Linked DNA regions of Callithrix jacchus. The protein of the gene in region 4 interacts with the protein of the main gene of each other region in a biochemical or structural test. Links are inferred from orthologs where the notes say so. Each region holds a gene or a part of one and is shown on either strand. Other genes may lie near its edges. The genes, in order: ANOS1, FGF8, FGF6 and FGFR1.

Region 1 (7,674 bases), on a different chromosome or scaffold from region 4:
CTAAAAACCTACAGTGCACAGGACAACTCCTCACAACAGAGAACTACCCAGCCCCAAAAGTCAATAGTGTTGAGGTTGAGATGAACCTGTGTATACAGTCAGCTATGTATCTACAGTTTTCAGGACATAGATATATATCTAATCTTTGAACTTTGTTTAATCCACATTACAAAAAATTACCTGCCAAAAACTTTATCTTGTCTACCATGTCATATTAAAATAGTGAACGACTGAAAGGAGCAGACGTTGGTTTGCAAAAATAATTCTATGGCATTCCAGGTAGAAAAACAGAGTAACACAGATAAATCATCATTAAGGAGCAAATGTTGTAAATAAAAATAATGCATGTAACTGCAATGTATATCAAATTAGCCACCTGTATTTGATAACATTTTTGATAAGCTTAATTTTTTAAACAGTCAATAGCATTACTGGATATAGTTTTCTCACATTAGAGAAATGCATCTAATTTCAATAAAACGTATTACAGGATTAGGTACCAAAACTATGTTTGTTTAAAAACATAGGTTTTATCCTTTATTAGAGCAATCACATTTTTAAAATTCAAAAAATTGCAACTATATTTTTGATCATCTGAATAATATTGGAGCTTATTAAAATTCACAAGAGAAACACTTATTACCCCATTAATAGGGTTTTTCTTCTAATAACACCAATAAAATTTAAATTATTTATTTATAGCAAAATTAGAAGCCCATAAGAGCTGGTTTAGATTTTTTAAGGGAGATGTAAGCTTCAGAATCACCATATGAACTAAAAATATCTGTCCAATCTCTATTACCCAGACAAAAGAAGCATGATTAAGTTTTATAAAATTAAATGTAATAATTTAATAATATTTTGTAGCTATGTATAGACTCCCAGCATTTTTAACTATACAACAGTACAAAAATTTGCTGGCATCAATATTTGGATTTGTTCATGACAAATTCATGAAAAAGATAAACAGCCAATAATGAAAAATTTTAATTTTCAAAAGTTTTAAGAACTTGAAATTCAGATGCTGGTAATGGCAGTAGAATAAAGCATAGTTTTAGAGAAGATATCTGTGGTATCAGTTTATTTAAGTTTAGGGATGTTTTTAAATAAAGACTGTTTTCCATTTTCACCATTCAAAAATTATTAGAGCCAGGTAATTTCACAACTCAGTGTGATAAATCCATCCCAGCTGTGACAGTAGCTGCAGAAAACCATTCAGAACCTACATGAACTTTCGTTCTGAGGCGTCCAATTTGAGTAACTTGTACAAAGCTGTAATATCCACTCTTCATATAGTTTAACACACAGGAAACAGGTTTCAATATTTACTATTGGGTATCCATGTTTATAAATGTGTTTCCTAAACACATCCATCGACATCATAAAAGTACTTTCTCTGCATTTTAATTTGCATTTGCCTTTAGACACTGCAGTGAAGCCCCGTGGAGTCAATGACTTCTGAGTTCTCCACTCTTTCCAGGAATGGTCAGGCATATGCATGAATTCAGGAAACAGTAAAACAACAAGAAGCAAGTACGATTGTCAAAATCTAAGGATAAGGTTTCTGATTTTCTGTTTTACTTAGGTAGGTAATGACATGGGGGCACCTTTCTTTTACAGTGTTTAATTTTGACAAATCACTCTTTTCTCAGAATCAGCATTGATGGGGAAAACGTATGATCCTCATGACCTTTAAAAGAGCTATATCTTTACTCACCATTGGTGAGCTATGAAAATGATTTCTTCAGAGATTCATGCTCAAGGTCTCTTTATATATATGCATGTGTCTGTGTGTATATAGACACGCGTATCTATGCAGATTTCAAACCATGTATGTGAGTGTTTTCTTCAAGAAAAAAACAGTATTAAACATCTCTACATTTTAGGTTACAATACACACTGCAACACTCTATACTGGTAACATGTTTTGACTAAAGTTCATGCTACAAGGGAGTAATCTGTAGCATAAAATTTTCCAAAAGGTAAGATATAATAGATTTGAATGCATATAGATGAATTAAATACAAGTAACTGTCCTTCTCTATCAATCAAAGCCCTTTTTTTAACATTACTAATAAAATTCAAGCATACAAGAGCTTGCTTTATGAAAAGACAAATCTCTGCAAAGATCTAAACATGCTCGATAGTTGGGATTTTTTTCGTTTGAAGCAAGAAGTTTTGTGAATTTTCAGTTGGTGAAACAAAAGTACACCAACACCTATTATCTGTATTGAGGAAAATAAGGGAAAAATATAAATAAGATAACATATCAGGAAAATCTCTCACATAATGGGATCGAATATTAAAAAGCATCCCCAGGAAATAATTTTCATTTCTCCAAGGTAAAATCTGGTTAGCAGCTTATTTCATTGAGTTTCTCTGTTTTGGATGTCTTGTAAACCATAATTTATAGAGGGAACTTTCATTTACCTTTGTCTAAAAAGCAGCATAAGGTACTTAAAGTAGAAGCATTTTTAGATTTAAATTCGCTGGTATATTTTAGATTATGTATTTTCATTTACAAATCACTGAGGATAAAAATGATCTTATGAAAGATTCAAATAAACAAAGCTGTATAATCTGATTTTTCATATCAAATCAATAACTTAGTCAAAAATATATTTTATTGATTAGATTTATGCTTAGTGTTATATGTGAAATGTGTATTTGTTACTCTACTTTTTTGTGAGGAGTTTGGTGCTCCAAATTCAGGGAAAACTGAGTTCTGCTGTAATTCTATAGAAATGAGTGATACCATACATGAAAACAGAATTTAGAGTTAAACAGGCCTATTCTTAATTTTCTCCATTCTTGTAGGGAGCTGGTATCTGTATTTACCAGTCAACTATTTCTCACTTGTCTCCAGATGCATCTGTGATTGACAAAAGTTCTTCCTGCACTAAAGTCACATAGGAGAGTTGGGGCCTCTGAGCAATTCCCATTGCCTCTGTAAGTGTGCATGTCTCGTGGCCAAAGTTCAACAAGCTTACACATCTGTGCAATTTTTAAAAATCTTCCTGAATAGTTTAGTATCTTTCTGGAGAAGGCTTGTAATGATGTGGATGATGATGCTTAAGATGAGATCCTAAAAAGTGACAAAATATATCAGTCACATCCCTTTATACATATCAAATAAATGATTGAATTACTTTTATTTGTAGAAAAAACATGAGACCCAGGCAAATGTTCCTTCCTATGACCCCGTCTTTCCTATTCTGAATCTGAATGTACAAACATTCTTTCTCTCCTTTCCCTGTTTTTCTCTTTCTCCTTGATGCCTTCCCAAACCATAAAATAACAAGAAAAAGAAAACAAGTTCCTTTCCTTAAGCTCACAATTATTCAGTCAAACCATAATCCTTTCTTATTTGCTCAAAGAAGTGTTAAAAACTATCAACAACTTTTGTTAAATAGAATTTCTATGAAGGAATATCAGAAAAGCATTTTATCTGACAAAAATTTTAGAGGCTATCAAGCTCTCCCATTGTGATAGTTTTTGTTTGTTCTCTCTCTCTCTCTCTCTCTCTCTCTCTCTCTCTCTCTCTCTCTCTCTCTCTCTCTCTCTCTCTTTGTTTTTTTGAGACGGGGTTTCTCTATGTTGGTCATGCTGGTCTTAAACTCCCAACCTCAGGTGATCCACCTGCCTCAGCCTCCCAAAGTGCTGGAATTACAGGCGTGAGCCACTGAGCCCAGCCTAGGTATTGTTTTTCTTCAAATTATAAGCATACCAAGTTTATTAGGGCAAATTTAATCTATCATTTAAAATAATCAGAGTTAAAACTATGACTAATTCTCAATGTTTTATCCACTAGACATTTATCATTAGACACTGGTTTTTACATTTAAGCTAGAAAATAAAGTAAACGAAGTACGTAATTTAAAAATCAGCAAGAGGCTGTTTTGAAAATCTAGGTGACAATTTTCTTTTAAACTTGGACTTGATTTAGCAATAAATGAAGTAGGTGGACTTGGGTCATATCATGAAGAAAATTGATGACATATATTACAGTAATTAATATCTATGTGACAAGAAAAAATGTTCCTTAGCAAAATATTATTTCCTATATTTTGATATTTGAAAATCTTGATTTAAAAATATTTCAGACTGATATGAGACTATAGATTTTTTTTCCCATATTCATTTATGGTTTAAAAGATAAGGAAAAAAGGAAGCATGATATGGGGAAAAATGCAAGGAAGGAAAGAAAAGGAAGGATGGAGGAAAAGAGAAAAGAAGAGAGGGAAAGGAGGAGGGAGGGAGAAATGGAGGGAGAAAGGAAAAAAGGCAGGAGCAAAAAAGGGAGAAAAGGGGAAAATGGGAAGGAAAGGAGAAAAAGAGCAATTAAGCATCAGCTATGCAATTTATACTACAGGTACCTGGAATAGAGTCCAGTGAGCTGGTACAAACAGGGAGAAAGAATTTCAGGTGATCACAACTTCCCTATCTCATAGAAACCTGTAATAGTGTTATTTATTTGTTTTCATTTTCCAGCAAGACTTTTTTCTGTGTCCACAAGATCTGACAGGACACCTTAATGCCCTGGCACCCCACTCACTGTGCGCTGAAGAGGGTGGAAGCTCCGGCGTCCGGAAGGTCTTGATGGTGGCTGGCCCCTCCCCTCCAGAGGTCAGCACTTGCACTTCCAGTCGGTAAAGAGTGGACGGCCTCAGATTGGGCACTGTTAGGACATTGTGATCCTAAGGGGGCAAGGTGAAAGAGGATGCTCACCGACAACCTTTCAGAGACGATGCACAGTGTGCAGATAGGCTAGGACAGTTCTTCCCCTACTCGAGAATATCATACATAGGCAAGTTTGGTTGCTTCGTAAAGGCAAAGAGAAATATTTTTCCTCATTTATGGGGGTTCTCTGCCATATGATTTCTTAGCACCTCACTCAATTCTTGGCAGCCTAAGGTATTTGGCAGAGTTAAAATGTGCCAAGATGCCAGTTCTCAGGGCTCACTCCTGGGATTTTATTTATTTTTTTATTCCTTAACATAAGACTTTCCCATGGTTTAAAGTCTTCAGCTGCACATCTTGTGATGCGAATTCTTGATAATTTCCAATTTTCAGTAAATGAGCCAACTATTTTTCTTAAAACACAATATCTGTCAATGCCCATAAGTAAAAATACTTATTTTTATGCCAATACACTCTTCTCAAAACTCAATAAAACCTAGTACATTTAGAATAACTACTCTCTTATTCCATGGAATTTTTCTTTCTGAGATTTAAGTTGTGTTTCTTCTTTTTTTTCTTCCCTTTTTGAATTTTTTAATGGTGGTTGGCTATTCCAAGGGCATTTTCAGCGAGCTGGTAAAATCCCACACATGATTTTTTTTTTTTTTTTTTGAAACTAAGGAATTAAGTTGCCTGGAAGACAGGCCAACTCATTATGGGCTTGAGCCAAATTTGAAGGTGAGGGGAAGAAAGACAAACAAGTTTATTTTAGCTATACCTGCCCCCTCCCCCGCCCAATCCAACACTTCAAACAGGGCATGTCCACTTGAACCAGAGAGACGTGAGGTTAACAAAGACAAGAAAGTGGCACAATCACTTAGACACAAGATAGGGTACAGTCTTTTCACGAGTTGGCTCTAGCCATCAAACTTTAGACGGCAGCTTATGCTACGTCTTAACTATGCACAGATATATTTGTGATGTGTTAATTCTTGCAAAAGATATACTCAGAAGAAGAAAATACAGAAATATGACTCAATGGTACAGCACACAGAATGACAGAGGCAGCCATCTCTGAAGGTCTTAAAAAAGAGCAGTAGATACCAATGAGAAGGACATAGTATAAGAGGGGGCACCTACGGAAGGCAGGATCTGGGACTGTGAAATAATGCTGTTGGGTAGGCTGTTCTGTCTGCTTTCTGTAGTGACCTCAGCCCAAGTCACTTGAAACCCAGTCATGGGCTGATAGAGATTGGCCTTGGCCATCTTCCAAGAAAAATGGCCGGTGATGTTCACATCCTGGACGATGAACGAAGCAGAAAGGTTCTCAGGCTTAGCTAGCACCTTAGAAAGAACATGACCTGCAGCAATGCAAGAAGGAAAACCAGGATTAGGCTACTAGAGAATGTGTGACCATGGGATCCATTGTATATTCATCGTAGGAACGTTCAGCAGCTAGTCTGTGGGATGATATTAATAGAAACAATCTGACCTTGTTCTTTAAACATGGGTTCAGGCAATCACCCCTTTGACATATAGGGACAGGTTGAGTAGGAATCTCATCACTACAACTTTGTGCTAAATGTTTCTTCCAGTCCTTCGGGGATCCTTTCTTAGAATGATCTTTTGAAGATGGAAGCAGGAGAGCAGTTAAGACCCTGGCAAGACTTAACTATTTCTTAAAGAATAGCAATGACTGCAGTGAGAAGGTAAATATTAAAGTTGTTCGAAGAGCTATTAAATCCAGGGCTTTTTTTTTCTTTCATTTTTTTAGAGGTGGGATTGCACTATGCTGCCCACGCTGGTCAGAACTCAAGGGCTCAAGTGATTTTCCCATCTCAGCCTCCCAAAGTACTGGGATTTCAGGCATGAGCTGCCATGTCCGGCCAAATCCAGGACATTTAAATAGAGTTTTTCCCACTGCAAGACAGGCGCTTTGGCAAGAAGGGGGATGGAAGGTACACATGTCAGGTTTGCTGCATTGGCATGGAAAGTGTGTGAATATAATCCACACAGCAAAGGGATGGGATACAAATGAAATAATTGTATCAAACTTTGCCAAAACACAAGCGGCATCTGAATGTTTCCCTTCATTTCCAAAGGGATAATATTACTATCAAAGGACATCTTTCCAAGGCTGTTAGACTTATAAAATAACACATTCATTCCTAAATATCTTCCTTCCACATCAGGCCATCATAACATAACTTAGAAAGAGGGACACTTTTGGTTTTTATGGTCTTATGAAATGCAGTTTGGCAATGTTTGGAAATTGCTGCTGACACCTTAGACCTAGATGTGGGGAAGTCCTTCAGGTGAAAACATACCTGCTTCTCCAGGGCAGGCCTCCGGCTTATGGCTCTTCCCCTTAAGAGCAGAGCATGGAGGAGTAGTGAAGAAAATGGTTTCTGCCTTGGAGTGACCTTTTGGCCGTATCGGTTGGACAGTCACCTTATACTTGCAGGAAAATGACAGATCTTGAAGAATTATATAATTTTCCTAGAGCAAGAGAAAGAGAATATGCTAGCAATAAATCTCATTAGGGATTAAAAAACACTGGCAAGAATTGAAATAATATTCTATCCAACAAGGATGTTTCCCCATATAGTGTGTGTAATATGGCTTTTATAAAAAGTACAAAGGAGACACTGTGTACATTTTGATTAATGACAATTGTGAAACACTCCCATGGCCATGGGATATACCCTCTAAAATTAAACAGTATCATAATAACTCCTCAGCAAAGCAGGCTACTTCTCAGGTCACAACCAGCATTTTTGAGTTGGGGGCAGTGCAGGTAGTGGTGTAAAGCTGTAAATACAAATCCAACTGTTTTCTGTTAAAAAAAAAAAGTCAGGCCTTTCTGAGACATAGATTAATTCATTTATATGTAAGTTTTTCTGTTAAAAAATGATTATTTTTTTAGCAATGTAATTTTTCCCTTTTTTGGAGTGCTTACTGTTTTATGCCATAATGTTGTGATTAAATATAAAT
Region 2 (8,226 bases), on a different chromosome or scaffold from region 4:
CGAGGTAACCCCAAGACAGCCCTGTGTCCCTCTGGCCACCCTGTTGGGATCAGAGCACAGGACTGTCCTGGAGGAGTCCAGCCAGCCCAAGCCACCCCCCAGGTCCCGGCAAACCACACCTGCCTGCCAGGGCCTCACCTTGGCAATCAGCTTCCCCTTCTTGTTCATGCAGATGTAGAGGCCTGTCTCGGCTCCTCGGACTCGAACTCTGCTTCCAAAGGTGTCCGTCTCCACGATGAGCTTTGCTGTCAGAGAAGGTAAGAGGATGGTTATTGGCAGATCCCTAACCCCAGCTGGCCCACATGCTTGTCACAGCCCAGCAGCAACTGCTCCAAAGAGCAGGAACCCAAAACGTGGACTTCGGCTCCAGCCCAGCTACTACTATGCTGTGCAACCCAGAGAAAGGGCAAGGTGATTTTCTGGACCTCAGGTCCCACCCTTGGGTTTACAGAGGGCAGTGGATGGGATCATGATTTTCCCCAAATTGGGTTCTCAAGAGAGGTCTTGGGACCATCAGATTGCAAAAGCTAAAGTGCTATTCCTTCCACCCTCTTTTTAAACCAGACAGTGATGTCTCTTAGATTGAGGCTCCAAGTAAAATTTAATTTGATCAGAGTTCCATGGCTAATCAAAAGACCTCCGAGGAGCCTCCAACTCCGAATATTATGTGCAGGTGCCTCAGAGGTCAATACAAACATCTGGGTGAGTGGTGACCTCCAGTCCCAAGGCCAGAGATAAAAGCATTCTCTCCTGTTCCTGCCAGTTTGGGTTCTAACTCATAGCTTCGGCCACCCCCAGCCCCTGAACCCCGCCAGGCTCTGCTCTGCTGAGAACGTGCTAGGGGTGGAGACAGCTCCCCATAAACACACGGCCCAAAGCAGGGTGCTTTCCCAGAACCTCAGACACCTGCCAGGAGGATCCTGCCTCTTCCCTGTGGCTTCCCAGTCACAAGGGTCCCCAACCCCAGTGTCCAGAAATCAACAACTCAATTGTTTTTTCTCTCTTTTCTCTTTCAGCCTCATCACAGCTGGGCTTCTCACCCCAGTGACCAAATACCTTTGGTGGGTGACGAGGAGGGAGAATCGGACCGCTAGCCTCTTAGTCTGGAGGTCAGGAAGCAAGGCTGAATTCTGTGCCTCCTTCCCCAGTCCCTTCCCCTTAGACAGCCAACTTGCCACAAAAGCCTGTCCCGTTCACGTAGCTATGCAAACCTCTCTTACAGGCTGTCCCCAAGAAAGTAGTGAGGCTGACTCCACTGTTTGGGAAGGGACAGAGGTGCTGGCTCTCCTGCCCTCCCTGTCGCAGAGCCTAGCCTCTCTGCTCCTTGAGAAAGCAGTTCTGGGATTTAGCCTGCATTGACACATGGTACCTCCTCTGTCCCTGAAACCCATGGCAGGGGTTGGGGGCATTGAGGTCAGCAAGGTAGCCATCACTGCCCAGCCTGTAACTTCCCCCCACTTCACATAGATGCTATGCTGGGACCCATTGGCCAAGCCCCCAGTCTGGCCCCAAGTCAGCAGAGGAAATGCAGCTGTCACCTCCCTGCGCACCCACCTCCTCCTGGACCTAACCAGTCTCATCCCTCTCCTGCGTTGCCTTCCACAGCAAGAAGTGGCTATTTTTAAGGGCCAGCCAGGAAGGCTGCTGACTGGAGAAGGAGTGAGAGGATGCCACTCTGGGGATTCTGGCCAGATGCGGCAGGCAGGGGTGAAGGAGGTGCCTCTGTGCCCTCCTTCATCCTGCAGCGGGTGAAGAAGCCATTGAGACCTCTCTGCTGTTTTCCCCAGACTCCTCCTGTCCTGGCCAAATGCCCTGAGCCTCTGTTCTTAGGACCTCCAGCGCCTATGCTGCCATGGGGCAGGGACTAGGGAAGGTGGGAAACCTCCTATATGGCCCAGGAGAGAAATGGGCATCAGACTTCCTCTGATGTCTGAAGACAAATTCCCCCACACCAGCGTGTGTTCTGCTTCCCTCCCCAAAATCCAAGGATGCTGGGCCATTTGCTCTGAGAGCAAACCCTGGAAGAGCCAGGCATTCGCTCCCTCTCCTTGGAAGCTGAGAAGGGCAGCAAGCAGCCAATTTGGAGGGACAAAGGGATGGTAGGGCTGCTCTGCCAGCCCAGCAGGGAAGCTCGGCCACCAGGCAGGCCGCCCCCACCCCCACCCCAGAGAGCCCCTCTCTCCCTGGTCGGCGGAATCTGCTCGGATCTGGGGAGCTGGGGAGCTGGGGCCGCAGTTTATGGCAGCTCTCCCGACTGGGCTTTTGGAAAGCTTAACATTTTCAAACCTATTCTTCCACCCCAGTGACAGATTTATCCCAGGAAAATTATGCCTCCTCCTCCAGCTTTGAAGGGAAGTCAGCTACGTCGATGCAGAAAAAATGCAGCGAGACATAGTCGATCCCCCAAACTGGCTCAAGAAGAGGAGAAAGTATTCAGGAAATGTTAAAAAAGGTGAAAGTAAGAAGAGTTTTAATCGCTCTGCCAGACGCGGGGGTCTCTCCAGAGATTAAGAGAGAACAATCTTGAACCTCTTTTTTAACATTTACAGACTTGAAACTCCTTTCAAACTCCACATCTGAAAAAAAAAGCTCGTTCTTTTTCTGTTTTATATCATTCTTCGTTTTTCTTCTTAGCTCTTAAAATGCCTCACCTTTTTATTACATTTTAATAGAGTCTTCCCCTCTCCTTTCATGCTTGTTTAACGTGGTCATTATTTAAAGGTTTTTAAACTCACAATAATCGTTCTCTAAAAACACCAGCCGCCCAGAGGGCTTGCTTTTCTCCTGGTACATCCAGGACTCTGGAAATTGGCCCTGTTTCAAGGCAGGAATATTGAATGTTTTAGAAATCAATCAGTTCTCAGCCTCCCTGCCGGCAGTAGCTCCCCGCACTCGCCACCCCACAGGGAGCTGGGAGTCCTGCCCCAGCCCGCCGGGTTCCTGGGAGAGTGGAGCAGAGAGAGTCCTGTTCCAAGCCCAGTCCCCACGTGTAATTGACCCTTCTGATCAAAGTATTTAAAGGTTCCCAGCAACCCCCTTTTCCACATGGGAGAGTTGAGGGGATTTTTCTCCCTTTTCTTTCCCACTCTCCTTTTGTGGACCCTGGCGACATATCCACTTTCAAGAGCTTCCCTTAAACCTGGGCCCCCTCCCCTGAACCCCCTGCCTCCACCTGCAGCTGGGGAGGGGTGTATGAAGCGGGGAGGCATAAAGGGAGATTCCTAGATTCATTCATTTGCTGGGCAGGATAGGGGCACCTGTGGCCAAGTACTACTCCCCAATGCCCCCTCCCCAGCCCTCTTCCCCAGCTGACCCTCAAGACACTTTTCTGCCTTAACTCCTTCCCTTCTGGGCTGGGGACCCCACAGGCCTCCGGCCAATGCAGTTGGGGCTGGCAGTCCAGGAGCCGCGCATGCCACAAGCGACCTTCATCGTGCCTTACCGAAGGGGTCGCCGTCCTCTGCCATGGCGTTGATGCGCTTGTTGGCCAGGACCTGCACGTGCTTCCCGCTGGTGCGGCTGTAGAGCTGGTAGGTCCGGATGAGGCGGCGGCTGAGCTGATCCGTCACCAGGCTCTGCTCCCTCACATGCTGTGTAAAATTAGGTGAGGACTGAACAGTTACCTTTAGGAAATTGAAAAATACACAACACTGCATTATAATGCTACTCCGCCCAGGGGCCCGAGTGGCCCCATCACCCTGCTTCCCCCTCACTGTCCCAAGCCGCCAGCAGGTGCTAGGGGTTCCCCCAACATGCCCCCCCAGGCCACCAACCCCCACCCAGGCAAGTGGGGCAGACCCAGCCCATTATAAACGAGCCCCGGGGAGAAGCTGGACCCACCTGTTGGGAGACACCCTGGGGCTCCCGGCCAGCCTGGAACAGGGAAGCGAGCTCCCTGCCCAGCGCAGGGCCCCTGCCGGGGCCTTCCTAGAGGAGCAGGGCGCTTTTAAGTAGGGAGGCAGCGCTTCCCGACCCCTGACATTTATAAAGACAAATTTACGGAGCAAATGTTGAGAATGCAGGGGACCTGGGCACCCGATCATTGGGCCAAGCCGGTCACAAACTCCCCCGAGGGATGCGGAGAGAGTCTGCTGCAGTCACCCGGCTTCCCCTGACATCGAACATCCATCCCCTGGTCCCGGCTGCCCCCTTCCTCGGCGGCCAGGTGTTCCCTATGCCCCAGCCGGCGAGGATTTGTGGGGGACAGTGCTGGGCTCGGAGACCGCGCTCCTATCCTGGCCACTCGCTGTGTGACCTCAGGCAGGGCGCTACCTCTCTGTGCCTCAGCTCCCTCCTTAGGGTGGCTCGGGGCTGGGTTTCTAAGGTGCCCTCAGCCCTCCCGGGCCGGCCACAGGGTCAGTCCTGGTGCCCCCGCCCGGCGCTGCCCACCCGGGTCTCCCGCCGGCCCGCCTGGTCCCCGCCTCCTCGCAGCGCTCCTCACCTGGGCATGCAGGCAGAGGACCAGCAAGTGCAACAGCCTGTGGGAGACAAAAGCGGGCGGGAGAGAGAGGCGCGGGTGAGGCGAGGGGCGCAGCGGGCGGGCGGCAGGGCAGGGCGGCGCGGTACTCACAGGCAGCTCAGCGCGGAGCGGGGGCTGCCCATGGCGCGCGGCCCCGAGGCACCGAGAGCCCGGCAGGATCACGCCGTCCCGCGGGGGGACGCGCGGAGCGGGGCGCGGGCGGAGAGGGTGCGGGTGCCGGAGGCCGGCGGCGATCGCGACGCGGCTCCGCCGGTCCCGTGGAACGTCGTGCTCGCCGCGCCGCGCCGAGTCGCTGTGCGCCGCTGCCGGAGCCGGTGGCCGCAGGCTGCTCGGGAGCCGGAGCGGGCGGGAGGGTCACGGGCCGGCAGGGTGGGTGGGGAGGTGGGAGGGCGGGGAGGGGTGGGGGCGGGGGGGCGCCGCACCGGGCGCGAAGGGGGAGCGCGGGGCGGGCGACGGGAGCCCGCAGCCCCCGGCTGGGAACTGGGGCCTGGACGCAGCCCGGGGCGGGGGCGGGGCTGCCGGGGCGGGGCGGCCCACGGGTCCAGGATTGGGGGTCTGGGCTAGGGGAGGGGTCTGGGGACCCGCGGGAGGGGTGGGGGCGGCCGGTCTGGACGCCTCCCCCTATCCCCAGCCTACCCCCCCCCCCGCCCGAGCTCTCGGGGCCCTGACGCGCGGGGATGGGGGCGACTGGTGCTTCGGGCTCTGCGGGGCCGGGAGACCCTGGGCCCGGGCTTCCCGGAGCGCCCGAGTCCGGCGGGGCTGGGTCTTCTGCCTCGGGGCCGGGCCGCTTCATTCCCCCCACCCACCCCGTTACGCCTTGGTCTCAGAGCCACCTACTGTGTGTCCTGCCAGGCCAGCCTGTTAGCAGCGCCGCTAACCCTGCGGTGAAGGGCTGCGCACCCGGCCCTGGCACAGTGCGTGACGGTGTCACCCGGACCCTGCTCCCGTTTCGGCCGCGTGCCCCGCCCTGCCGCTCTCCCCAGTCTCAGTCTCCCGAGGAGGCCCTGGGAGCCAGAAATGCCTCCCCCTCCCCCCACTCCATTATCACCATTACCCCTTCCCCTGTGCCCCTCACCACACACATACACTAGCCTGAAGCTTAAGGGGCACCCCGAGCCACTTGTGTGGAAGAGGGAGCCAGGAGATGCCTGGCAGGACCCACTGTCCCCCTACCCCAGCAGGCAGCAGGGGCAAAAATAACTGTTCTGAGCAGCTTTTCCTGGGGGAAGTGACTTCGATGGAGGCCACCCAGCCTTTTCCCCCTCAAAGCCCCATTCATTTTTCATTTCACAGGTATTTACACATCTACTGTATTCTAGGCAGGGGCTGGTCAGCTGGGTCTAGGGCAGAGGAGAAGGTAGGCAATTGTCTAAGCCTTTCCCAGCCCCTCATCTCGTGGCTTCCCCCTTGAGGTTTCTGGAAACCCTGAGCCCCCACACTGCTTCTGTAGGAGCAGCCTGGGTAGGCAGAGGGTGTCCTGGGACAGGTACCTTGTGAGGAGCAGGTGATGCCCTACCAGGCTGTTGCCTTTACCCACAATTTACCCTTCCCCACTGACCCTCCATGTCCCTGGGGGTAGGGCTGGAGGGTTTGGTGTGGGTCCAGCAAGCCAGTAGGCCAAAGGGAGCAGGCAGCCCTAGTCCAGCACACAACTAGACCCTGCCTCCCTCCCTGTTCCGAGTCCCACTTTTCACGGGGCCCCATCTTTTCTGACTCCTAGACATCAATGCAAACACTGAGCAATGGAGAGATGGGAAAAGACAGAGGGTGTGTTCCAAGATCTTATCCCTCCTCAGAGAAGTAGACTTCCTGGGCACACTTGCCATCTCACTTCAGTAGTCTGTTCAGTGGGCTCTTGCCCACACAGACCTTGTGGCAAGAATCATGTCTTACGGGCTCAGAAATCACAGCTCGTGGCACAATGCTGGATAGAATTGTTCTGCAGTTAAGAGTTCACTGAATGAATGAATGAAATTAAATGAATAAATGAGTGATGGGGAAAGTGGCTGAGCATTTAGACTTCAGCTCATTTGCAGCTTCTCCAGGAAGACCTGCCTTCACCTTCTCCCAAAAGATTATCATCATCAGCACCACGAATTATGAGCACTTGTATCTGCTACAGGCTTGGTAGGCACTGTCTCCTTGGAAGCTCATGGGGAGGTGAGCCCATGAGGCAGAAGAAAGTCAGGTGGGCTCAAGTGGCCACAGCCCAAGCCAGCCCTTGCCATCCCTGTGTTCTGTTCAAGGCCTGAGTCACAATTCCTTGAGTGTCTATTTCCCTCTCTGCACTGCTTCAAGAGGGCAAGGGCGATGTCTGTTTGCTCGTGGTCTTACCCTCATCCCTGTACACAGCAGCCCTCAACCATGTTTAGTTGTGAATATGATGAACAAATGAATGAATGGAGAGATAGAGAGCAGGGGACAGGCACTTCCTGAGAGAAACAGGCTTTCTCTCACCATGGACTCTGAACATCAGTGTGATGAGCAGAGCAGGGAGTAGGCCCCAGGCAGGGGTGAGGGTGACCCACCCCCAACAGTGTGTGCATGGTCCTGGGGTCACAGCCAGAGGAGCACCTTCCCCTCCCTGGAATGGGGATAGGGACAGAGCCCCTGGCAGAGGTCAGCATTCAGCTCCGGTTGTGGAGCCCCCAGAAGATTCTGAGGGCCCTGGGCTGAGCTTCAATGGTCTTCAGCCACACTCCTTCCTCTGCCCCAGAGAAGATGGGTGTCCTGGGATCTGAAGGGTCAGAGGTCAAGTTTCAGTCCTGTCCCAGCCTCTGCCAGGAAGCCTGTGCTGGACCAGGATTCCTTTACATTTGGATTTGGAAACCCTCCTGAGAAGTGGACCCTCACCTAGTTCATTGAAATTCTTCTCATCTCCCCAAAAGTCCCTATCTGTGGGGGAGAGGAGCAGATGGGGACACCCCGGGAGCAAGCACCTGGCTCGGCTCGGGCACACCCGTGACTGACAGATGCAAATGTCCCGCCGGGCTCCCGCAGGCCGCTCCCTCCCTCTCTGGCTCGCTCACCTCCCGGCCAGCTCCCTCCCTCCTTTATCTTATCAAAGCCCGGTAATTACAATTGCTATTTTGTTTCCTCGAATCTGCAATCAGAGCTCCTGGGCCCAGATGAGGGAGCGCCTGTCAACCTGATCGCTAAGTGACAGCCCGGCCACCTTTCTCGGCCGCCCCCACACTCCGAAAACACAAACACACACACGCACAGACACACACTCCCTCGCCTGCAAACACAAACACACACTCCTAGCCAACACAAACGGCCCCTCTCCGCAGACACGCCCTCGCCGGGACCCAGACACAGTCTGTCAGCCTATTTCCAAACGCACCCCTCGATCCCAGCCCGGCCCCCGGCCCCTCGATTCCACACCCGCCGGGGACCGCAGCAGACTCCAACGCGCGCTTCCTGCGCCGGGCGTTCAAAGCGCCGCGGACTCACTGCTGACCGTTCAAATGCAAATCGCCCAGACTACGTTAAGCACTTCGGCCGCTGTCTGGAAGTTGTCCCCTTCGGCCCCTCAATAGGAGCCTACCCTTCCTCCAGCGGTCGGTAACTCGGGCTTACGCCTTCATCCCCCAGCTCCCGGAGGCCACAGTGGGCCAGCAGCGCTCTTACTGTGCGCTGAAGGGCAAAGAAGGGGACTCGAGAAGGGAGTAGGGGGAGAGAAGAAAAAACCATGCCCAGCTGCGTCCGCGGGGTGCCCCAACCGGCTGAGAAACTCCTGGGCC
Region 3 (7,662 bases), on a different chromosome or scaffold from region 4:
CTGGAACAAGGCATTTGGAGTTTCCTGGTTTCCTATGAGGTCCATCTACTGCCCTGAAAAGGGTGGACATTTTACAAGGAGCCTGGGGCTCCCCCATGGCTTCTAAGCTAACCTCTTCAGCTGCAGCTGAGAGGTGCATCTCATAGTGTGTGCAGATATGCTGCTCTCCTCTTTATTATTTTCTCTTGAAGAGAGAATAAAACAGCCTCTTTGCCCTCGGAACTCCAAGTTTGCATGGGGCTGCCAAAGAAGGTTCAGGATGAAAGGGAGGTGAACTGGCTACAAAGCTCTGTAAACCAGGCTCCTTGCTCAGCACTCGGGGAATGGAAGAGCCAAGTCTTAGTCATCTTCAGTGGGAAAGTGGGGCTCTCTGGTTGCCCTGCATATAGCAATGTCTTCTGCAGCCTTTGGGATCCAATGGGCCTGACAACCGAGTTCAGCACTCAGTGGACATGTGACCAGATAGGAAACAACTCTTCATGCCAGGGCACAGATACAGAAGCCAGAGAGAAGGGACTGAAATGCATCCTGCTGATCTTACTCTGGTCCTGTCTCTTAATCCACTTCTGTGGATGGGGATTGGCATTTCCTTCCTTCCTTCCTTCCTTCCTTCCTTCCTTCCTTCCTTCCTTCCTTCCTTCCTTCCTTCCTTCCCTCCTTCTTTCCTTCCTTTTTTTTTTTTTTTTTTTGAATAGAGACGAGGTTTCACCATGTTGCCCAGGCTGGTCTCAAACTCCTGAGCTCAGGCAATCTACCCGCCTCGGCCTCCAAAAGGCTGGGATTACAGGTGTAAGCCACCGCACCCAGCCAAGGATTGACTTTTCTTAAGCCTAAAGTCACTTATAGGAAAACAGAAAGCCCTTGAGAGAATTTCTTCGCATGGGAAGGATTTTAAGGAGTCACCCACACATCCCTGCATCTAAAGGTGGTATTCAAAGTACTTAGCAACCAGATGGGCATGGTGGCTCATGCCTGTAATCCCAACAGTTTGGGAGTCTGAGGAGGGCAGATAGCTTGAGCTCAGTTCAAAATCAGCCTGGCCAACATGGCAAAACACTGTCTCTACCAAAAAAAAAAGAAAAAGAAAATTAGCTGGGCATGGTGGTGCACACCTGTAGTGCCAACTGCTCAGGAGGCTGAGGAAGGAAAATCACTTGAGCCCAGGAGGTGGAGGTTGCAGTGAGCTGAGATCACACCACTGTGCTCCAGCCTGGGTGACAGAGCAAGACCCTGTCACAAACAACCAACCTCCAAATATTTAGCAACTGATATAGCATGGGCCCTGGTACCAGTTAGACAGACACCCAGCCCCTCATAACCGGTGCTGGTGCAACTGCTATGCAGTGGCTGAATAGCATGCCTGCTTGATTGTAGGCATTTCTTAGCTTCTCCTTCTCATTCCTGGCATGAAAATGAAAGTGGACATTTGGGGAAACACCTTGCCAGGATTTGAGCAATGTTATGCTTCTCTAGAGAGATGAAGGAAAGGGCTGGCAGTCCAAGGCTTTGAGGATTCTCTCGAAGATGGCTCCTCTCATGCCATGTGAGCTGAAAGATCTTGGAAGAAGGGAACCTATGTTATGGGACCTAAAACTCCTTTTTTCTCTGGATCATAGTCACGCCATCCTCCAGCCATTCCACACTCCAAGCTCCACTGGGAACTGATACGTACCTCAGGTTCGGGGTGCCTGCATTCCTGATGGACCCTGTTCAAGAGACTGATTGCACTGAACAAGACTCCCTAAAAACCAGTCAGCTTAATCCCTGCCTCCAAGCAGACCTGCACTTCAATATTCCAAAGAGTCACGATGGACTAGTTTTCTCCCTTTTCTACCACATCCGAGGCTCGGCCACACACACACGTGCTTCAGGGTTTCTACTGTCTCTTCCATCTTCACGTACCTTGGTGTGGCTTTTTCCTCCTCACCCAGCACATGTCGTTTCTGACATCTGCAGGGCAGAGGAGGTGGCCGGTGAGGTGTCTCTCCCTTCGATTACCGACCTCCATCTTCAGCTCAGAATTCCTCTGCCCGGATCCACCTACAGATGGATGCAACTGCAAATAGTAAGGTATGTTGAAGATGAAGGTATTCGCAACAGATGAGGATTGTCTTGCAGGCCGGGGCCCCCGGGAGTCGCAGAGGGTGTCAGGTCATTTTGTAACTCGATGGTTCATATATGCCAAAAATATTTGCACTCTGATAGGGCTCTCTCTGGTTTCAGATTTAGGAACATTCCAATGGTTTGGGAATCTGAAGGCTCCAGGCAGACAACATTTATAGTCAGCTGGGGAACCTCTGCTTTAAATCATCTTAGGGACAGAAGGCAAGAAGGCATCGTGCGGCAAGGAGCTGCTTCAGCTTGGCTTCTTGACTTCATGGGATTATCGCTCCTCTTCTACTGCAGGGAGGAAGAGCGCACAAACCCTGGAGGTCACTGTGCCCATTTTGCTGCATCCAGGCACAGCGTGTATGTGAGATGACGATGAGCAAGAAGGAAGTGAGGGTATCAGATAAGAACTTGGGTGCATTTCCTGGACATAGTTGGAGAGGAATTACCATCTGTAGTCCAAAGCCTCTCTACTTCCTTCATGCCCTATTTTGTCCTCATCCCTCGCCAAAGAGGTTGCCATTATTAGGATCCTTGTCATCTGTGGTTAAAATAAGACCAGTTCAAAGTGAGGAAACATTATGGGCAGGCAGCCTGGCCCTGCTTGTTCTTGGAGCCACATACAGCCTGAGTTCTCCAGGCAGAGTGGCTCTCCTAGAACATCCAGTGCCTTCTGCTGCCTCCACAAGCCTTCCCCAGCTGCCCTGGACGCTGCTCTACCCCTTTCCTCCAAGAAGGAAACAGCTTCCCCCCAGCTTCCCTGACAATTCATCCCAGTATCCCCAGAGCCCTCACTGGCAGGAATCTTGAAGTGCCTGATCACTTTCTTTCGGGTTTGCAATACAATCTTACACCTCTCACCCTGCTGTCTCTGCACTTTGAGGATGGCTGCTCCCTGCTGGCCTGTGCAACTCACGTGGTCAGCAGCCTCTGAAAGGAAAGATGATTGGAACAAGGCAGAATGGGAGCGCACATCAATCATACTGGTTTGACAAGTGACATTTGTACAGGCAGATTCCTGCAGTGATGATGCTGGGAGAGAGAAACTCGATGCTTTGAAATGCCTCTGCTCTGAGAATATATAGAACGCTGTATAGATATACAACAATGCACACAAGCCCCTACCCTGGCCTTTTCCTTTGCACATGGTCACATTCCTCAAGTGTCACCGATACTTCTCTCCTCCAGGGAGGTCAGAGCATGGGATCCATTGCCATTCTAAGGTGCTGATTGCAACCCTCACTTGAATGGGCTACATGCCATGGGGTCCAGCAGCCAAGGGCAACAACTGGGGTCTCCCCAAGTGCAAAATAAGCCTGACTCAGAAGCCATGGAGGGCAAGGGGAATTATCTGCTTGTGCAAAATTCCAGTAGGACACTTGCTGCTTTAGATCTGTGAGCCTTCTTTTGTGGGTCCTTACATCCTGGGAAGGAAATGAGTGACAGTCATGATCAGGGACACCTTGCTGCCCCGCTTTGCCCGTCCGTATTTGCTCAGGGCGATGTAGGTCCCTCGGTACAAGTCTGACTCGTAGGCGTTGTAATTGTTGGGCAGGAGGGTTTCTCTGAACTTGCATTCTTCTTGGAAGCTGGGCTGTGAAAGACATGGGCAAAAAGCAGGGACTGGGTTACAAATGAGGAGTGCTGCAGATGCCAGCTGGGCTGCATAGAGTAGGCCCCTCTGCTGGGTGCCCCTTCCTTTCCCACTGTGAGGTCTGAGCATCCTGGGTGAACAGAATGGTGGGCGGTTAGGATGGGAAGAGGCTGCAGACTCTCATGGTTTCCTCTCACCTTCTTCCCTCTTTTACTAGAAGGCCCAGGGACACGGGGATGGTCTGTGCCACGTGGGACAGAGCTGAGGCCCTGCCACTCGGGTCTCCTGACTTCCAGATAACTTTCTACTAAGTCCCTAGATGGTAACTTATTCCATTCAAAGAACAGACCAGGAAATGATACAATACGCTGTTTTCTCAAGTGCACGGTGAGAGGGAGTCTACTGGAGCAGGAATGAGAGCCCAGGGTGCTATTTCGTGACTTTTCTACTTCCCAGTTTTGTGACCTTGGGCAGGCTCCTCCCCTTTCAGCCTCATTCTCTTTTCTGCAAACTGTGTGTGTTGTGGGAAGGAGAGAGGTGGTTGGTGAGGGGGAGGAGACACAGACGCTCTCTTAAGCCCTTTCCAGCGCTGTCTCTCTTTCTTTCCATCTGTGGTTCCTCAGTCCACCTTTCTTGGTTTAAGTCCCAAGTTTTCTATCCCTCAAATAGGCCCATTCTCAGATTTGACTTTAAGCCTAGATGTCTGGTACTTCCTAGACCAGGGGTTCCCAACCCCCAGGCTGCAGACCCATACCAGCCAGTGGCCCATGCCAGTGCAGGAACCGGGCTGCACAGCAGGAGGTGAGCGGTGGCTGGGCGAAGCTTCATCTGTTTTATCCCCACTCCCCACCGCTTGCATTACCACCTGAGTCCATCGCCTGTCAGATCAGCAGAGGCATGAGATTCTCAGCAAGAACCCTGTTGGGAGCTTTGCATGTGAGGGATCTGGGTTGCATGATCCTTATGAGAATAGAATGCCTGGTGACCTGAGGTAGAACAATTTTGTCCCAGTACCGTCCCTCCATCCCCCACCCTGTCCATGGAAATAGTCTTCCATGAAACTGGTCCCTGGTGCCAAAAAGGTTGGGAACTTCTGTCCTAGACAATCCTAGTTCTCTAGGGATATGCAGGAACAGAGATGGTGAGGAGCAGGGATTTTTACTGGGAAAAAGACCTGGTTCCCAATATGATAGTGACACCAAGGAGACTGGGACCAACAAAAAATGGCCCTTTCCATGCTAATGTGATAGAGGAGTGTGTGTGGACCACTGTTCAGAACATGAACACTGAACTTCCTGCCTCACATGCACAAGTTCATTCCTAGTACATGACCCCCAAGTCCTCCTTCTCTCCTAGAAAAGAAGGCTCTTTCATCTGCAACCCGCCTGGGTGGGTGGCTGCCCTGAAGGAGTGTGCAGGTATTCCCTGTTCCTGTGGGGGTGGGAGCTAGAAGAACAGAGCCAGGTGGGAGCCAGAGACCTGGGATCTACTCTTTTTTTCTTCTTTTATGAGATGGAGTCTTGCTCTGTCACCCAGGCTGGAGTGCAGTGGCATGATATCAGCTCACTGCAACCTCTGCTTCCCAGGTTGAAGCACTTCTCCTGCCTTAGCCTTCCAAGTAGCTAAAACTAAAGGCATGCACCATCATGCCCAGTTAATTTTTGTATTTTTAGTAGAGACAGGGTTTAGCCATGTTGGTCAGGATGGGGTTGATCTTTTGACTTCATGATTCACCTGCCTCAGCCTCCCAAAGTGCTGGGATTACGGGCATGGGCCACCATGCCTGGCCCCAGGATCTACTCTTAAAAAGAACTATAGAATGAGAAATGGGTGGAGGATAACTTCTGACTCCTTCTTGCTCAGGCATTAAAAAAACCCCACTCAATGGCTGCTGGGCTGTGCCAGCGGTGTTCTCTGACCTGTGAAGGAATCGTACCTGGACGGCAATGTCGGTAGATGAGAAGCTCTTGGCTCTTGCTCTTCAGAAGGGCTGGTAAGTAGCCTGCCTCTCAGGGGCCCCAGACTCCCAGAGCCCTTTTGGTGGACCTCTCTGGCAACATTTTGAACAGCCATACTTTCTTTCCCAATAGACTACAAGATCCCCGAGATGAGGACTGTGTCTTGCATGGTACATGATGCTGAGTCAGTGCTGGTTTAATAAGGACAACATGGGTTTGGTGGCTCACACCCGTAATCCCAGTACTTTGGGAGGCCAAGACAGGAGGATCACTTGAGCCCAGGAGTTTGAGAGGAACCTAGGCAACATAGCAAAATTTTGTCTCTACAAAAACTTAAATTAAAAAAAAAAGCCAGGCATGGTGGCGCATGCATGTGGTCCCAGCTACTCTGGAGGCTGAGGTGGGAGAATCACTTGAGGTCAAGGCTGCAGTGAGCCACGATTGCTCCACCGCACTCCAGCCTGGGCGACAGAGTGAGATCCTGCCTCAAGAATAAACAAATAAGTAAATAAGGACAACACTGAAACATAAGAGGATCCCTGCATGGGGGGCTCTTTCAATGTGATGTGGGAGTGGGTGAGGGGACAGCCTTGCCTATGGGAACACAGTGAAACTCCCCCTCATACGTTTTCCCTATGTTTTTCTCTCCCGCTTGCAGCTTATTTACAAAGCACTTTTACTGATATTAACTTGCTTGAGATAAACGTGAAGACATTCACCAGCCATATCAACTGGTTAATGCCACATGAGGGGGATGGGTTTTCGTAAGCTTTCCTGTTCTCCTCGTTAGGGATGCTCAGTACGTATTTGCCAAATGGGTGAATGAAGGGACGCCCATTTTGGTAAACAAGGATGAACTAATCAACATCGTGGCACAATATGTGTTTTTTTTTGTGCCACAGCTTTCAAGTTAGACTGATGACAGTAGCCTCTTACTTAGCTATGTGAGCTTTGGCAAATCATTTAACCTCCAAAGTTGACTGTTCCCTCCTCTGCGAAGTAGGAACAGTAAGAAAAACTATGTCGTAGAACTGGAATAAGCATTAATTGAAATAATGCGTGGAAAGTCCTGGGAACAATGCTTGCTATATAGTAAAATTTAAAAAAAATCATTATTAGTATTCTTCTCTAAGTAAATCATGAGCGACTTTACATTAAAAACCTTAAAAGACTGCCTTACCCTGGATCACCAGTCCCATAAGACTTGCTGTGGGTTACTGGACAATTTAGCTTTTAAGCTCTGCAGTTTTTGACCTTGGTGGCTGGGAGACAGTGAGCTGACCTGGAAGAGCAGGAAGCGAGAGTAAGGTCAGAGGCTGATGCTGGCTCTGAACCACGTGCCCTCAGCAGGAGCTTCTCTGGACCCTGGTTTTCTGCACTGTGCACAGGGAGTAGACTCAGTCCCAGTACTTCGACTGTTGATGGGCAAGCCTGGGAGCAGCAGCACCAGCAGAAATTCAGCTCAGAACTCATGAAACATTCCAAGTAAAGCTACACTAATGAGAAGTCTCGTAGAGGTAAATGAACAAGAGAGAATCTGGCAGTAGATCCTGACACATAAAACATGGATGTAAAATAAAGGGAATCCAAATAATTATAAAGTAAAAGTGGTACTTTAAATAACTAGAGAAAACATGATGTTGGAACAACTGAATGATATTTTATTATAATAATAAAAGTTTGATGTGTATGACTTTATCCCTTACATCAAAATCAATTCCAAAAGGAGCAAAGGTTTAAATGTAAAAAAGAGTAACATTAAAATCAAGAAAAAAATTTTTAAGGGTACCCCTGAAATAGAATTTTTTTTTTTTTTTTTGAGACGGAGTTTCGCTCTTGTTACCCAGGCTGGAGTGCAATGGCGTGATCTCGGCTCACCGCAACCTCCGCCCCCTGGGTTCAGGCAATTCTCCTGCCTCAGCCTCCTGAGTAGCTGGGATTACAGGCACGCACCACCGTGCCCAGCTAATTTTTTGTAATTTTTAGTAGAGACAGGGTTTC
Region 4 (7,730 bases):
GGTTTAGAACATAATTTAAAAAAATAAAACAGCAAAAGTAGCAAAAAATATATGACCTTTTTAAAAACATTTTCTTTTTTTTTCTTTTTTCTTTGATTTTAATATATAGCAACTGATGCCTCCCAGCCACCTGGAGCATCTTACCCGATGGGTAAATCTCTGGTAATGACCCTTTTAAAAAGACATGTAAATATATACTCAGATTTATACACTTTGTGTTTTCTTCATAGCTATGTACAGAGCCCCCAGTTTGGGGCTGAGCCCCCGGGCCACAACACTGCCCCCAACCTGGCCTTTGCCTCACCATCCTCTGGTACCATGCATTTGGTCAGTAAAGCAACTATCAGAATTAATAAGCCACTGGCACCACCTATCTGGAGCAGAGGTCACCTTCAATCGAGGCCCAAAGTACTGATCTCCCTACTGCTGTAGCCCTGAGGACAAGGCACCTGCCGCCAGAGTGCTAGGGACTTCTGGGTAAAGGCGAAACACACCAAACCCAAATGAGAAAGCTCAGAGGGCTCTCACTTGCATGCCTGTTCATCGGCTCCCACTCCCCACTTTCCAGGCAGCACCTGGTGGCAGGGAGAGGTCTTGGTCCAACATCTGGGAGGGGACGAAGTGGCCAGCAGCAAGGATCTGCCTCTTTGCACCTCTCACTGCCAGGTGGAGAGGAGGAGGAGGAAGAGGTAAGCTGAGCGAGGTGAAGGCAGGCCACACAGGAAGGCCCCTGGTAGACAGCCAGCTCCTGCCAGCAGGAAAGGGGACAGAGATGGACGGGCGGTGGGCCTGGCAGGGGCTGTGGGTGAGGATTACAGCTGATGGTGGGTGGCAGTCAGCGGCGTTTGAGTCCGCCATTGGCAAGCTGGGCTGGGTGTCGGGGCAGGCAGGGCTCCTCAGGCAGCGGCTCATGAGAAAAGACGGAATCCTCCCCTGAGGAGCACGTAGAGCTCCGGGTGTCAGGAAAGCTGGGGGAGTACTGGTCCAGGGGCATGGACAGGTCCAGGTATTCCTGTGAGGGGCGAGAGGAAGCAGCAATGGGCTCGGCCCCTCCTCCCTGCTCAGAGAGGTGCATGCGCGCAGTGGGGACAGCCTGAGCTCTGGCACAGGTAGCCTTACCTGGTTGGAGGTCAAGGCCACTATGCGGTCCAGATCTTCCACCAGCTGCTTGAAGGTGGGTCTCTGCGAGGGCACTGCATGCCAGCAGTCCCGCATCATCATGTACCTGGGGCAGAACTGTAAGGTCAGGGAGGAAAGGCTGCCTCCTGGAGATGGACACCCTTTAGTATAGCCCCCTGCCCCTCAAGCCCATTCTTGCCCCAGGGCCTGGCTTGGGGCCTCCGACATCTCCTCAGACTTACAGCTCGTTGGTGCAGTTACTGGGCTTGTCCATGCGGTGACCCTCCTTCAGCAGCTTGAAAAGCTCCTCCACAGGCACACCGGGGTATGGGGAGCCGCCCAGAGTGAAGATCTCCCACAGGAGCACCCCAAAAGACCACCTGCAGACAGATGCAGAGCTATGGGTGTTAGAGCTTCTCTGCCTCCCCTCCTCCAGCACAAATCCTCCACCCAGGGCAGTGCCAGGAGACAGCGTGGGGAACAGATCATCCTTTCAACATCTGGAGCAGAGGCAATGGCCACAATGTTTTGCTTTTCTCTTGGGGCGAAAGGACTCCTCTGTCCAGGGGGAATGCAGGACTCTGCAGTGGTGGAAGTTCTTTATCCTTTCTTTATCCCACACCTCCCTGGCAACTGCTTATTGCAAACTCACACATCACTCTGGTGGGTGTAGATCCGGTCAAACAATGCCTCGGGTGCCATCCACTTCACAGGCAGTCGGCCCTGCAAGCAGCACCGGGGAGGTTGGGGTGGCCCCAGGCTGGGCCGTGACACAGGTGGGAAGGGACTGGGGGTGGGTTTTCAAGCCATCCCACCCACCCTTCGCTTCTCAGATGAAACCACCAGCATGGGGCGGCCCTGTTGGCACTCACGTTGGTTGTCTTTTTATAGTAGTCGATGTGGTGAATGTCCCGTGCGAGGCCGAAGTCTGCAATCTTCATCACGTTGTCCTCTGTCACCAGGACGTTCCTGGCGGCCAGGTCTCGGTGTATGCACTGAGGAAGGAGGAAGGGAGAGCAGGGGGAGGGGAGGGAGGTGAGGGAGCTGGAAGGCTCTGGGGGCCACCACCTGTGCAACTGGCCGACTTGCCTCACAGACTTCTGCCTACACTATTCTGCCCCGAACCTTTGCTTTCCCTTCTAGAATGTTCTCTGCCAGCTCCAGGCTTCTCAATCATCACAGCAAGTGCTCCTCCCTTCCCTCCCCGAAGGCTGGCCCTTTATGCCTCTGCTTTGTCTGACACTGCGCAGGTTCCTAGGTCTTGCCTCCCAGCAAAGCAAGTCCACACTGAGCTGGGCTCAAATCAAGCTAGCGCTTACACACCAAACACTGCACTCAATGCTCATCGTTTCATTTTATCCTCATAACAATTCTACAACATAGGTATTATTATACTTTTTTTTCTCCGAGACATAGTCGTGCTCTGCTGCAGTGGTATGATCATGGCTCATGCAGCCTCAAACTCCTGGGATCAAGTCAGCCTCCCACCTCAGCCTCCGGAGTAGCTGGGACTACTGGCACACAGTACCACACCCAGCTAACTTTGAAATTTTTTTTTTAAAGACAGGGTCTCACTGTTGTTGTCCAACCTTGTCTCAAACTCCTGAGCTCAAGCAATCCTCCTGCCTTGGCACTGCACCCAGCTGATGTTATTCTTATTTTGTACTTGAAGAATTATAAGAGGCTACACAGAAAATGGCAGTGTACAGATCTGACCCTACAGCAGTCTGACCCCAAGGCCACTTGGCTACACTGGTTCTCCTGACTCTGGTTGCCAGAGAGCCTAAGACAACGCACAGGGCCCGTGCTCAATGCATCCACAACGCCACCACAAGATGACAAGTCACAGGCTGGAGGACTGGGAGGGCTCTGTTCCCACCCCAGCAATACCCAGGGGAGCTTTCAGGGTCCACACCTTCTTGGAGGCCAGATACTCCATGCCTCGGGCCACCTGATAGGCGCAGGACACCAGGTCCTTGGAGGAGAGCTGCTCCTCTGGGTTGTGGCTGGGGTTGTAGCAGTATTCCAGCCCCGGGGGCCTCCGGGCCTGCAGGTACTCCCGCAGGTTGCCTTTGGAGGCATACTCCACGATGACATACAAGGGACCTGCGGACATAGGAGGAAGAGGCCATGCAGCCGGCAGCAGGTGAGCATGTTTGGCATCACCTCATGGAAACCCCACCCCCAGCAGCACACCCCAGCCAACCTCCCCTCTCCTGCCTCCTTTTAGGGGACCTGGGAAATCCATTCTACCACCCTAAGAAAACCAGATAAATAGTTATTCCTGGCATAGTCCAGAAATTTCCCAAGCAATGTTGGGATAAGAGCCTGTTTATTTATTTTTGAGATGGAGTCTCGCTCTGTCACCCAGGCTGGAGTGCAGTGGTATAATTTTCGGCTCACTGCAACCTCCGCCTTACAGATTCAAGTGATTCTCCTGCCTCAGCCTCCCAAGTAGCTGGGATTACTGTCATGCACCATGCCGCCTGGCTAACTTGTATTTTTAGTAGAGATGGGATCTTGTTAGCCATGCTGGTCTCAAACTCCTGATCTCAAGTGATCCTCCCACCTCAGCTTCCCAAAGTGCTGTGATTACAGGCATGGCCACTGTACCCAGCCTGAGCACCCTAATTTAGACCATAATTACTCAGCTGTCTCTGTTAACACACCATGTGTGTGAATCTAGGTATCTGTATTCTTCGATGAACACATATGGGCTGAGCCCAGACCCCAAGAAACACATTTTAACCTCTGCCAAAGCAGCCTCTCAACCCCCTTCCCTAACAGCTCAGACCTTCTGCCTGCTGGGGAGGGAAGGCCAGCCTGGCCGGGACCCACCATCCTGCGTGCAGGCCCCCAGTAGGTTGATGATGTTCTTATGCTTCCCGATCATCTTCATCATCTCCATTTCTGAGATCAGGTCTGACAAGTCTTTCTCTGTTGCATCCGCTTTAAAGAACATGTTGAGACTCATTTACTTTTGGAAGGGAGGAGGGCAGGAGAAAGGCTAAGGTAGAGGGGTATGTTCCGAGGGGCCGCTTTTCTCTTGGACTTGATTCTCTCCTCCCCACTTCCACCTTCCCTCTCATGGGAGTTGTTGCAATAGGTGGTAGTGAGCGGGGAGGGATGTGGGGAGAAATGTCAGCAACTGATAGATCCAGGATAAAAACCTAACCATAGCCCAGGTTGATGCCAAGAAACAGAGTGAGGTCACAGAACAATCTCAGGGTGCAGAACACCCCCTCCACTCCCAGGTAACCCCAAGCAGGCAGGGGAGCAGGTGTGGGCAGCAAAAGCACCAGAGAAGCTGCTCTGCTGGGCCTGAGGCTTGCTGTTTGCTTGGAATGGGACAAGATTGTCTCTGCAAGGACAGAAGCATCACTTACACTTCAACATCTTCACAGCCACCTTGGTCACACGGCTGGGTTTGTCCTTGTCCAGTCCGATGGCCTCTGCCAATACCACCTGCCCAAAGCAGCCCTCTCCCAGGGGTTTTCCTAAGACCAGTCTTTCAGGGAAAACAGACAGCGGCATTAAGTTGGGGCTGGTGAAGTTCAAACTTTGAGAGGCACCCCATCTCCACTTCTGTATTTCACCCAACTTCGAGCAGAAAATGGAAATGAATGTTTCTGCAGGCATTTCACACACCTTCACTGCCCTGAAGGTGTTAGTATACACACCTTCTACCACTAGAATAGCAAGCAAAGGATGCCTTCAAAAAGTTAGGAGTTAAAGCATTGTTACCTGTCCCGAGGCAGCTCCCAGCGAGGGTCTTCGGGAAGCTCATACTCAGAGACCCCTGCTAGCATGGGAGTCCCACTGGAGGAGAGCCGTGATGGCCGAACCAGAAGAACCCCAGAGTTCATGGACGCACTGGAGTCAGCGGACACCTGCAAGGAAGAGTGGGGTCACCCTAGAGCAAGGAGCGGGGACAAGGGCGACTCCTTTCCATTCCTAGTCAGGGCTTCCCAACAATGGCAGAGGCACGTTTCTGTGTATCTCATGTTCTTTCAGCAATACAGAGTGGTCCGAAGACCACAGGAGGCCCAACTTCTAGGACTGACCTATTTCTGCCACTGGCTGGCCTTTCTGGATTTCACTGACCTTTAAAATAAGCAGATCAAATGCACCTCTTCCAGCTTGATACTTTATTACTGATCACTGCAGTAACAACTCTATTCTCACAACTCTGCAAATACTTTGCCTTAGCTTATGGACTCCAAACTCCCAAAGCACCTTCCAGAATGAGCATAGGCTTCTGAGGGAATGGTCATTCTTGCACACACCTGTACCTAACAGTTTCCTTCCATGGGGAAGGGTGGGCACACAGGAGGACAAGGGGATAGTATGGTATGGCTGATATGGTTGCTGTGTCCCCACCCAAATCTCATCCTGAATTCCCACGTGTTGTGGGAGGGACCTGTTTTTGGTGGGAGGTCACTGACTCATGGGGTAGATCTTTCTCGTGCTGTTCTTGTGACGGTGAATAAATCTCACGAGATCTGATGGTTTTTAGGAGTTTCCCTACACAAGCTCTCTTTTCTTGTCTGCTGCCATGTAAGACACGCCTTTTGCCTTCTGCCATGATTGTGAGGCCTCCCCAACCATGTGGAACCTGTGAGTCTATTAAATCTTTTTCTTTTGTAAATTGCCCAGTCTTGGGTATGTCTTTATCAGCAGTGTGAAAACTGACTAATACATACGGTCCTCTTCTCTACCCTGCATCTCTGCACTTCTAAGCAGCCCTTGGGGACAGTTCAAATGCATGCTATTGGCTGCACATTCCATCCAGATAGGACTTCCTCCCAATCCATGTGCCAGGGGTCTGGGGGACTTTCAATGGGATATGAAGGGTGCAGAAGATTCACAGGCTACACTAGCTTAAAACAGACTCTGGAGCACTTAGTTCATGACATTCTCCTGTGCCTGGCTCAGAAGCCACAAAGCCAAGCCCAAAGCTGTAGATTAGGGACAGTGGAGAGGCCAGCGGATTAGAGGCCCAGAGAGAGAGATGGTGCTGAGTGTGCAAATCCCCCATCTACTTTCTGTTACCTGTCTGCGCAGAGGGATGCTCTTGGCCAGCTTGTGCACGGCCATCTGGCTGTGGAAGTCACTCTTCTTGGTGCTGCTCTTCATCTTGTAGATGATGACCGACCCCACCATGCAGGAGATGAGGAAGGCCCCTGTGCAATAGATGATGATCTCCAGGTACAAGGGTGAGGTCATCACGGCTGGCCTCTCTTCCAGGGCTGAGTCAGTGCGAACAGGGTGTTAGCAGGTTTGGAGGGCCCTGTCCATGCAAGGCTCCACTCCCATTAGAAAAACAACACCTATCTCCTGTCCCCTGGGAACTTTCAGGGAGAAGAACCATGTCAGGTTCTAGCTAGGACTAGGATTGTGGCCCTAGGAGAATCGAGACAAGCCCCTGATCTCAGAGGCTGCCTTCAGTGGACTGGAGCCATGGAAGAGGGGTGGCCTGGAACCATGATGCTATGCAAGTCCCATCCTCATTCATTCCTGGGCCTCCTTGCTCAGCTGGACTGGACAGGTACAGGCAACCAGGGACTCTGTAAGGGCCAGCTGAGAAGTCACTTCTGTGTGCCTTTCTTGGTCTCCTCAGGGAGCCATGGCCCTTCTCTGCAGAGCCTCAGCTCTGTGTGCATGCACGTAACACACAGGGACAGAGGTGTTTGAGTCCTCTGTCCCTAAGAAGCCACAGGGTCCCTGAGGGCAGGGCTGGTACCTTATTTATTTTTGCAGGCCACAGCACCTGGTGATGGTGGCACTCACAGAATGAGGACAGAGGACAGGAGGTGAACCAGCCTGCACCCTGCTCAATGTCCCACTTGGGGTCTGTGTCATCTGTGTCGAGTCACACAGGTAAATACTTACACCTAGTCAAACCACAGGCAAAGCTGACTTCATTTCCAAAAATAAGCTTTTTTTGGTAGTGCTTACGAATTCTACTTACAGGCTTCAACTACTAAAACTTAAGAAAATGTGGTGGCAGGGGGACAGGGGCTACATTTTACTATTCTCTTCTCCCACCTTCAGATTAGGATTCACCCCCCCACTCCATTGCCACAGCAGCTAAGCCAGTTCAGTCCACCCTTCCCTTCAGCACAAGGGGCTGGAAGGCTCTCATCCCAGCTCACGCAGCACTGATTTCACAGAACGTGCTTTGCCCCACGGGTGTGGACAGCCCTCCTCCTTCCACAGGCCTCTTCCCAACCTTCCCCTTTAAAACCCATCAGCTAGCCTCAGAGGCGGCACCCCTGAGAACCCTCCCAGCAAGGCATGAGGCACAACCCCAGACTGAGCCCAGGAGAACATCCAAGGCCTGCTAAGGAGACAGCAGAGCTGACGACAGGGAGAAGTGTTGCTGTTTTTTTCTTTCCCTGGTGTTGAGGAACAAAGACAACTGATTGGGAGCACACGGGGAGCACAGACAGGACAAGGACAGGGACAATGAGAAAAACAGAACGCTTCTTGCCTCCAGCAGGGGCATCTGGAGACCCTGACGAGCAAGCAGGGCAGAGGGGGAAAGGAGGCAAGAGAGGAGAGGGCAGTGCAAGCAGGACCAAGAGCAGTGCCCAGACCCACGTCTAGGA

The links.
Region 1: the proteins of FGFR1 (region 4) and ANOS1 form a complex in vitro, tested with the Homo sapiens proteins (3 studies listed by BioGRID and IntAct, with this or other methods). The link is inferred for Callithrix jacchus from reciprocal best matches to the Homo sapiens genes FGFR1 and ANOS1.
Region 2: the proteins of FGFR1 (region 4) and FGF8 interact in a biophysical measurement, tested with the Homo sapiens proteins (2 studies listed by BioGRID and IntAct, with this or other methods). The link is inferred for Callithrix jacchus from reciprocal best matches to the Homo sapiens genes FGFR1 and FGF8.
Region 3: the proteins of FGFR1 (region 4) and FGF6 interact in a biophysical measurement, tested with the Homo sapiens proteins (2 studies listed by BioGRID and IntAct, with this or other methods). The link is inferred for Callithrix jacchus from reciprocal best matches to the Homo sapiens genes FGFR1 and FGF6.

The regions. Positions count from the first base shown.
Region 1 is NC_133524.1:8,701,745-8,709,418, forward strand, and holds part of ANOS1 (anosmin-1), read right to left. Parts: intron 7,180-7,674; coding exon 7,008-7,179; intron 6,042-7,007; coding exon 5,821-6,041; intron 4,698-5,820; coding exon 4,556-4,697; intron 3,086-4,555; coding exon 3,027-3,085; 3' UTR 1-3,026. UniProt on the Homo sapiens protein: Has a dual branch-promoting and guidance activity, which may play an important role in the patterning of mitral and tufted cell collaterals to the olfactory cortex. Chemoattractant for fetal olfactory epithelial cells.
Region 2 is NC_133513.1:94,725,330-94,733,555, forward strand, and holds the start of FGF8 (fibroblast growth factor 8), read right to left. Parts: upstream 4,721-8,226; 5' UTR 4,603-4,720; coding exon 4,571-4,602; intron 4,479-4,570; coding exon 4,442-4,478; intron 3,928-4,441; coding exon 3,841-3,927; intron 3,624-3,840; coding exon 3,443-3,623; intron 2,752-3,442; exon of another isoform or gene 2,304-2,751; intron 1,110-2,303; exon of another isoform or gene 1,017-1,109; intron 258-1,016; exon of another isoform or gene 246-257; coding exon 139-245; intron 1-138. UniProt on the Homo sapiens protein: Plays an important role in the regulation of embryonic development, cell proliferation, cell differentiation and cell migration. Required for normal brain, eye, ear and limb development during embryogenesis.
Region 3 is NC_133510.1:17,824,595-17,832,256, forward strand, and holds part of FGF6 (fibroblast growth factor 6), read right to left. Parts: intron 3,704-7,662; coding exon 3,527-3,703; 3' UTR 1-3,526. UniProt on the Homo sapiens protein: Plays an important role in the regulation of cell proliferation, cell differentiation, angiogenesis and myogenesis, and is required for normal muscle regeneration.
Region 4 is NC_133514.1:39,241,636-39,249,365, forward strand, and holds part of FGFR1 (fibroblast growth factor receptor 1), read right to left. Parts: intron 6,369-7,730; coding exon 6,165-6,368; intron 5,010-6,164; coding exon of another isoform or gene 5,009-5,009; coding exon 4,864-5,008; intron 4,628-4,863; coding exon 4,506-4,627; intron 4,069-4,505; coding exon 3,958-4,068; intron 3,226-3,957; coding exon 3,035-3,225; intron 2,115-3,034; coding exon 1,992-2,114; intron 1,843-1,991; coding exon 1,772-1,842; intron 1,500-1,771; coding exon 1,362-1,499; intron 1,226-1,361; coding exon 1,120-1,225; intron 1,013-1,119; coding exon 836-1,012; 3' UTR 167-835; coding exon of another isoform or gene 110-166; 3' UTR 1-109. UniProt on the Homo sapiens protein: Tyrosine-protein kinase that acts as a cell-surface receptor for fibroblast growth factors and plays an essential role in the regulation of embryonic development, cell proliferation, differentiation and migration.